Linked DNA regions of Oryzias latipes. The protein of the gene in region 1 purifies or fractionates together with the protein of each later gene. This does not show direct contact. Links are inferred from orthologs where the notes say so. Each region holds a gene or a part of one and is shown on either strand. Other genes may lie near its edges. The genes, in order: ubiquinol-cytochrome-c reductase complex assembly factor 1 and ubiquinol-cytochrome-c reductase complex assembly factor 2.

What was found.
Region 2: the proteins of ubiquinol-cytochrome-c reductase complex assembly factor 1 (region 1) and ubiquinol-cytochrome-c reductase complex assembly factor 2 purify together in Homo sapiens (co-immunoprecipitation; 3 studies listed by BioGRID and IntAct, counting the BioPlex papers as one, with this or other methods). This does not show direct contact. The link is inferred for Oryzias latipes from reciprocal best matches to the Homo sapiens genes UQCC1 and UQCC2.

What each region holds. Positions count from the first base shown.
Region 1 is NC_019863.2:6,000,430-6,004,247, forward strand, and holds part of ubiquinol-cytochrome-c reductase complex assembly factor 1, read right to left. Parts: intron 3,064-3,818; coding exon 2,986-3,063; intron 2,862-2,985; coding exon 2,748-2,861; intron 1-2,747. UniProt on the Homo sapiens protein: Required for the assembly of the ubiquinol-cytochrome c reductase complex (mitochondrial respiratory chain complex III or cytochrome b-c1 complex). Involved in cytochrome b translation and/or stability.
Region 2 is NC_019863.2:645,424-649,845, forward strand, and holds ubiquinol-cytochrome-c reductase complex assembly factor 2, read left to right. Parts: upstream 1-1,456; 5' UTR 1,457-1,592; coding exon 1,593-1,730; intron 1,731-3,321; coding exon 3,322-3,396; intron 3,397-3,777; coding exon 3,778-3,844; intron 3,845-3,934; coding exon 3,935-4,044; 3' UTR 4,045-4,109; downstream 4,110-4,422.

The DNA.
Region 1 (3,818 bases):
CTTTCCCACCGACAATTGATACCCGGATTCCTGCGTGCCAATCCTTCACCTTACCAACTGAGCTACTCAGCTGCTAAAAGCCATTACATTTTTACATTTTACACTTTCCGGCCACCTTCTCCGCCAGTGAATCCAACTTAACACCAGGTAGGGATCGATGGACAGCTCTGCCCTTCTCTTTACCCGCATGTCCAAGACACAAGGCCAAAGGTCACCTGAAACAACTACAAAGTCAATCATTGACCTTCTGCCTAGGGTGTCCTGATGAAAGTCTGACTATGACGGCCACAGAAATCCAATAACAAAACACTGCTCGGGTTCAGATCAGGGAGGCCATTCTTACCAATCACATCCCTACGGGTTCCACTTTCCTTGCCAACGTGGGCATTCAAGTCCCCCAGGAGGACAGTAGAGTCCCCCGTTGGGGCATTTTCCAGTACGCCTTCGAGAGACACCAAGAAGGTCGTGTACTCCAAAATGATGTTCGGAGTACCCATTAGCCGAAACCACAGTCAGAAACCTGTCCCCCACCCAAAGGCGGAGGGACATGACCCTCACGTCCATCGGGGGGGAACTCCAACACTTGGCGGCTGAAATGGGGGCTCACCAGTAAGCCCACACCAGCCCGCCACCTCTCACCATGAGCAACTCCAGAGTGGTAGAGAGTCCAACCCCTCTCTAAGGACTGAGTTTCAGAGCCCAGGCTATGTGCGGAGGTGAGTCAGACTATATCTAGACGGCATCTCTCAACCTCTCGCACAAGCTCAGGCTCCATGCCTCCCAGAGAGGTGACATTCCATGTCCCAACAGCCAAGTTCCATGACCGGGATTTGGGCCGCCGAGGCACCCGCCTTCGACTGCCACCCAAACCTCATTGCACCGGTCCCTTTTAAAGTCTCCTACGGGTATGGACTGAGCCCGACCGGGGCCGGTTGGGAGAGCACCGGTCAATATCCCTGACTTCTTTTGAGGAAGCAGAGAATGAGGACTTTGGGGTGAGGCTGTCTATTACCCAAGTTGAAGTAACTGAGGTAGTCAATAAGCTCCCTAGTGGCAAGGCTCCGGGAGTGAACGAAGTCCGCCCTGAGTACCTCAAGTCTCTGGATGCTGTGGGAGTGTCTTGGCTGATACGTCTCTGCAGCATCGCGTGGCAGTCGGGAACTGTAACACTGGACTGGCAGACAGGGGTGTTGGTTCCCCTTTTTAAGAAGGGTATCCTGTGGAGGGTGATTTGGGAGTATAAGGTCCGGGGAGCCTTAATGAGGGCTCCGCAGTCTCTGTATGACCGGAGCAAGAGCTTGGTTTGCTTAGCCAGCAATAAGTCAGACCTATTCCCGGTGCATGTTGGACTACGGCAGGGCAGCCCTTTTTCACCTGTTCTGTTCATAGTTTTTGTGGACAGAATTTCTAGGCGCAGCCAGGGGGAGGAGGGGGTCTGGTTTGGGGACCACAGGATTTCCTCCCTGCTCTTTGCAGAAGATGTTGTCCTGTTGGCTTCATTGAGCCAGGACCTCTAGCATGCATTGGGGCGGTTTGCGGCAGAGTGTGAAGCGGCAGGGATGAGGGTCAGCACCGCTAAATCTGAGGTCATGGTTCTCGACCGGAGAAAGGGGGTTTGCCATCTCTGTGGATGGAGTCTCCCTGCCCAAGGTAGACCTCGGATAAGAACAGCTTTTCCTTCACATCGAAAGGAGCCAGTTGAGGTGGCTTGGGCATGTAGTCCGGATGCCTAATGGGCACCTTCCTTGGAAGGTGTTTCGGGCATGTCCAACTGGGCGGAGGCCCCTGGGGGAGAGACTACATCTCTAGGCTGGAGGAACTGGGAAGACTGGGCATCTTTGCTTAGACTGCTGCCCCTGCGACCTGGTCCCGGATAAGCATGGAGGGAGGGAGGGAGGGAGGGAGGGATGGATGGAATGGAATGTTTTTTTTCTTCATTGTAAAGTGCTTTGAGCTGCAAATATCAGATTAAATCCAGACTTTCTTTCCGTTCAGTAAGAAATGGGAACAAGTTTTAAAGTGAATACTACAGCTGATCCAAACTTTATTTATTGGGGGTGGAAAAAATGAAGAATGATGCAGTTCTATTGTGAAAAATGTATATTACTATGTTAGCAAACTAACAAAAAAGTAAAAACATTTAATTTTACATGTAATGAAAGCACCATCACAGAATGAACTTACATTAAGTTACTCAGGCCCTGTCTCATAATGTAACAAAACATGAATAAACCAAAATACACTTGTTTTTTTTTCATATTAGTGGTTTTGAAATTCTTAGAAATATTGAAGCTTTCTGACCTGCTGTTTGTGAATAAATCCAATTTTTGATAAATGTTGGAAATGTTTTTAAATTTTCTTTGTTAAAAGTCACAGCCTTGGTTGCTTGTAGCGTGACATGCAGAGGATTGAAATGGTGGTTCGCAAAACCATTCGGATCACGCGGGCTGGGCACAGACGGGCACGGCTGCACCTGAGCCAAAATAACCAGTTTAATTTCGCCCTGTCGGATTAAAAAAGACAGATTGCCACGTAACAAATATCAGCCGATCATCGCCCCTGAACGATAATCTGTCAACCCCTGGATGTTATGTCACAGCACAAACTACAGCCAGCAAGAAACAGTGGCTGAGTTAATCAAGACTGAAAAGCTGAACTTCATAAATGTTCTCATTTTTAAAAATGTAGAATGTGGGAATCTGAACGGTTTCTACCTGAGGATCAGTCGGCCAATGAGAGCAGCTCACCTGTTTGCGCACATATTCCACTAAAAGTTCCAGCTGTCGGGGGTCTTCACACTGTCGATTGAACAGGTTTCTCCACAGAGCTGCAGCCAGCACACAGTCATCAGACAGGATTCCCTGATCAGACAAACACCGTCAGAACAGACCAGAACCGGGCAGAACCAGGCACACCGCATGGCTTCAAGCTAGCATCAAACTTTAGCACAGAAGTATGGAGTGTGTTTGTTCATGCATGAAGCACCTCATCATATCCAAATATGGCTGCATAGAAGGTTTCCGTCATGGCTTTCATGGCCTCCTTCCTGTGAACAGCATCTATCTGCAAGACCAACAGAGACACAACCACAGCGTTAAACCTGCAACTCTGGCAGAAACACGGGAGTCAGGATCAGCTGCTTTGGCTTAGCAGCAGATTTTCAGAGGACGAGAGTTTACTGCCATTAGTGCACGTTAAAAACGTGTTTAAAAAAAAGTACATTGGAATATTTCTTTAGCTCCTCATGAGCCAGAACGATGAATTTACGGAAAAAACACAACTTGAAAAAATACAACAAAGAGAAAAAGAAAGAAAATAAAAGAAAAAATATGACTTAAAAATAAGGAAAGAACCAGGACAGCCTGGTTAGCCGCTCGGCTACGCATATCATTGTGCAGCTCGAGTTTGTTCCTCATAATAAATGTATGTATGTATGTTCTTAACTCAAAAGTGGAACTCATTCTAGCAAAAGTCAACAGCATCACGGTCTGGAAGAAAAATCCAGAAAAGTATTGTCCCGTGCTGTTGTCCTCAGGTGTGGGTGTGACCGCCGCTGTACGGTGTTGAGTTTAACTTCAGCTGTTCTGATTAACTGTTCTGATTGACTTTCAGAAGCAATACAACTGTTTTAATCCCAAATGAGTTTACGCTCAACACCTTCATGTTGACGGAGGAAGTGACTATGCTGTTCTGCACACATCCAACATGCAGAGTCTCAGTGTGGTTGGTTGGATAAATGGATGGAGGGACTTCCTGTATGTTTCTGCTGTAACAGTCTAAGCCTTAGCTGATCACTGCTATCTCCATTGAGAAGGATG
Region 2 (4,422 bases), about 5.4 Mb from region 1:
CCCAAACACCAGCAGCAAATAGCCCCAAGTTGACAAGAAGATTCCTGAAAAAAAGAAACCAAGATTTAGCTCCCGTTGATGATTCAGAGTCCTGCTTCCTGTAAAACACAGATATCATTTCAAGAAGTAAACATTCATTCAATGCACAAAAAAGGAGGCTTTATGTGGAAAAAAACATTTAATGCACATCAACCAAAGCAGGGAGCGGTGATCCACTTAGCACAAGTTTCAGACAAGAAGTGAACTTTGTAATCGATATCCCACTGCTATAGATTCATTGTGTGGATATTTACAATAAGCCAAAGTATTGAATACATTTAAGCTGTTGATAATTTCATATGAATACAACAATTTCCAGCTGAATTGACGTGACAAACACATGACAACTGTTGATTTGAAGACAGAGGAGAATTCAGTGTCGCTTTTCTTTCATTGAAACTTATTTGAAGATATTCTTCTGTACGTTGCATCTAAGCCATCAGTCCTTATCGTTCAGCCCTATTTGTCAATTTCATGTTTGTTCAGTAAAACATGAAAACATTAGAATTTTACTGTAGAATTAATGCTTTGTGTTTAAATGGAACTGAAGGAACAGGTAAGCATTCTGTTTCATTTATTTATTTAGAAAAACTTTCATTTTCTGTTTAGCTTGTACGTTAGTAGTTAGTTTTGGTGCAACATTCAATGGCTGAATTAATCTTTAGTTTAACTTTTCAGCAGTAGAGAAATTGAAAGCACTGTTTGCATTCTGTCATTTTAACAAAATGCTTGGCGTCTAAAATTAGCTTTAAAAAATGGTAGAATTCAGTGTCATTTTAGGAAAGGAAACTAAAAATGTCCTGACTAAACATTAAACTGACGTGAATGTTAATGCATGGAGGTTATTGACCTCAGACTCAAAGAAAATTAGGTACATTTTTGCTTGATTCACTGTTTTCACCTCACTCTTCTTCTCTCTCAGAAGGATTTGCTGCTCACAAAATCCCATTTGGAGAACATTTATGGACAACTTTCTTTGTTGGAACTTGAATTAAATCTAAGTGCAACTAAATCTACAAATCAAGAAATGCTTTTTAAAACTGTTTATTAAAAGATTCAAACCTAAAAAAATAGTAAATAATAACCACGTTTATTTGTGCAAAAGCTACGTTTGTCACACATATACATAACAAACCAACTGTATACATGTTCACATAGTCCTCTGTTAATAGTTTTTGTCGATCATCATGTATTTTTATGTCTCGTTTGTAGCGTGTCTCTAACACTGAGCACTGCGAGGTTGTGCTCCAGTCCAGCTAGCTAGCGCGGCGCTAATGAGCAATCCTACAGTTTTTATCGAACAACTGCAACATTCTTACCTTTTAAAATCGTTTCTGTCCGTTACAAAACGACACGAGGAGCTGATCCAACCCATCACTCCAGTGGAAGGGCTCTTTTTCGCACCTGCTCCGCTCATCTTGCTAACATGCGGCGTCAGGGATGAGGAAGGGTCAAACGGGGAGGAAGAGTTTAGATGTAACACCAGTACGGAAAGCAACGGAGCCCAAACTTTCAAAGCGGGCGGCGTTTACTGCGCTGTTACGTGATTAAGGATGTCTGCGACTCGGTACCGACGGTTTCTGAAACTGTGCGAGGAATGGCCTCGAGATGAGACAAAGAAAGGTCGCGATTTGGGCACATTCCTGCGGCAGAGGGTCGCCTCCGCGTTTCGCGAGGGTGAAAACACGCAGGTAGAGGCTCTTAGCTTAGCTTCTTAGCAGCTGAGCTAAGATTATATGGCCATCAGCTGACGACCTTGGTGACCCGGCTGTTGATGCACGTGAAATGTCTTTCATAAATGTTCTTCCACTGAAACAAACATGAACCGACACATATTTATATATATTTGGAAGTATCATTTATGCAGAAATGTACCGGAAAGTCCTTTTCTTCGCCTCTCAATGGCTGAGTTTGTCTTTTCAACAAACACTTATTATTAAACGGATTTAAATGTGAAAAGTTAAAGTTTGAAAACTCTTCTTTATTGTTGATTTTATGGTTAATGTAATTTTACTTTTAATCTGTTCAGCAGGCTAACTATAACTGAAACTATTTCAAAATATGGTGAAACTGTTTTATTTATTGACAATGACATCAGGTTTAAAGAACAAGTCTTTCACTTTGAAAAAGAAATCACAAAACTGTTTTACAAATATTTGTAACTGGGCTTATACTATTTTTCATGTAAAGAAAAGTTATATATAGTGTGGGAAGAGTGCCATTATCAGGCTAAAATGTGACCTGCTGTGGTTTACACACATTATTAAAAAGTCTTATGCATGAAATATTGATGATTTATTTCTCTTAAAACGCCCTTTTGTATTTTTAAGGAAAAAATCCAAAAGGAATTTTCTCAGATTTCAACAAAGGAATTCATAATAAAAAATCTCTTGAATTTTTTATCACCAGATAGCCCAGAAAGAAATCGTCTATTTGGATGTTATTTTTATGAATATGTGCAGCAAACAACAGAATCCTAAGTTGGACGCACTTAAAATACATGCATGACATACGTGTGAATAGTATCAGCCTTTCTGAAAAATTGTTTTACAAAAAAAATAAAAAAATAACTTAAAAAGTACACTCCAAAAAGAGTGAAGATGAACTTTTTTACATTGTTGTAACTTAATTATTTAGTTTGGTGAAAATAAATATTTTTTTTTTAGTTCAGTCAACTTAAAAATAACACGTAGTTGTCTGACAGTTATTTTACTTTCAATCAACTTACTTCAATTAAGTTGGTGTAACTTTGGTGTGAAGCTGTCAACGCGTCATGATGACATTGGTTGAAACTTTAGAAAAATGTGTCAATTTAAATTGTATAAACAAAATTGAATTTTTTTTTTAAGTTGGATCAACTTTTCAAATTGAGTTGGATAGCCATAAAAATTTTAGTTGAACAAACTTAATTTAATTAGGTTGGATCAACCTTTTTCTTTTTAGAGTGTAAATCCAAATTGAATTCATCATATAAAGCAAAATCGACAACCCAGAACATGTTGAGATGGATTCTTGGTTTCTTTCTGGCCTTTAAGAATTTTATAGACCAGGCTCCTTCCTTTGTTAGTCCTTGTAATTGAAAGTCTAGTTTCCTTTTAATCCTTTTATCTAACAAAAGTACATTTATATATTATGACCCAAAGTATTCACATAGCAACATGTTTTCACTGGCCGTGCAAATTCCTGCTCTCTGTAAACCCCACAACCATCAGACGTTGGATAATCTAAACAAGTCTTTCCTCTGTTTGGTTTTTCATGACCATGCATTTTCATTCTCTCTAGATTTCAGATCCAGACAAATGTGACCAGATGTATGAAAGTTTGGCTCGTATTAATGGCAACGTATACAAACAAAAAGTGAGTGACATCCTCAAGCTTCCTCATTTATTTTACGTTAAAATTTGTTGCTGTTCCATGAAAACCTGCCTCTGCTGCTGCTGTGACCTCCTTTCTGCTCCCTTCCTCCATGTCGATGGTCATAAACCCATATTTAGACCAAAGGTCTCATCACTTTTAAAGCAGGCCACACAAGGTCAATGTTTGAGTAAACTTCAATTGACCGATATGGAAAACATGAGACCCAGAGCTCCTCGGATGGCTGGAGCACCTTGGTTACCACTGTTTGACCAGAGAAGAAAACTCATACATTCAAATGGCATTTTTCAAATCATCCAAAGAGCTTCTTTGTTTGTCCTGGCTTTGAATAAAAACTAAAACTGTAATCTCCGCTTTGTTCAGTTTCCTCGGGTGAGAGACACGAGCTTCACCGGAGTCACGGTTGAAGAGTGTCGAGTCCTCCTTTCAGGTACGGACTCCCAATTTACCATTCACTGTCCGCTCTTTTCTCACAATGAAGGGGGAATAACACGGAAAATGCTTTGTTTTCCAAATGCAGGAAGTATGCAGCAAAGCATGGATGAAGAAAAGAAGGGCTTGTGGAAGACATTAATGGAGAGGTTCTCCTCCAAAACGGAGGACGTTCCAGAAAAAGCTCCTGAAAAATAACTTTTGACCTCTTAAATGACCTTTTCCCATTAGTGCTTGTGTAGAAATAAAGTTTCTCTTTGTGACCTGGTGTGCTTCCATTAACTCTACAGGTTGTAAATTCACTGGAGGCAGAGGCAGACTCCTGTCACCTCTACCCGGTTAGAACGCCACACTGGCTGGGTATCCAGATCTTCAATTCCAAACTCTGCGCCATGGAAAATTCCCAAAAATCTCAGTGCGCATCGATGCTTACTACATTGGCGAATATAGACCACAATGCATTGCGTTTTCACTTCGGCAAAAGGGTGACACATTTAGGGCTCAAAGAATAAAAAACTAGTGAGCACATGTCTGAACTGTATTACTGGATAGCTGTGCACCAAAGGTCTTTGGGAG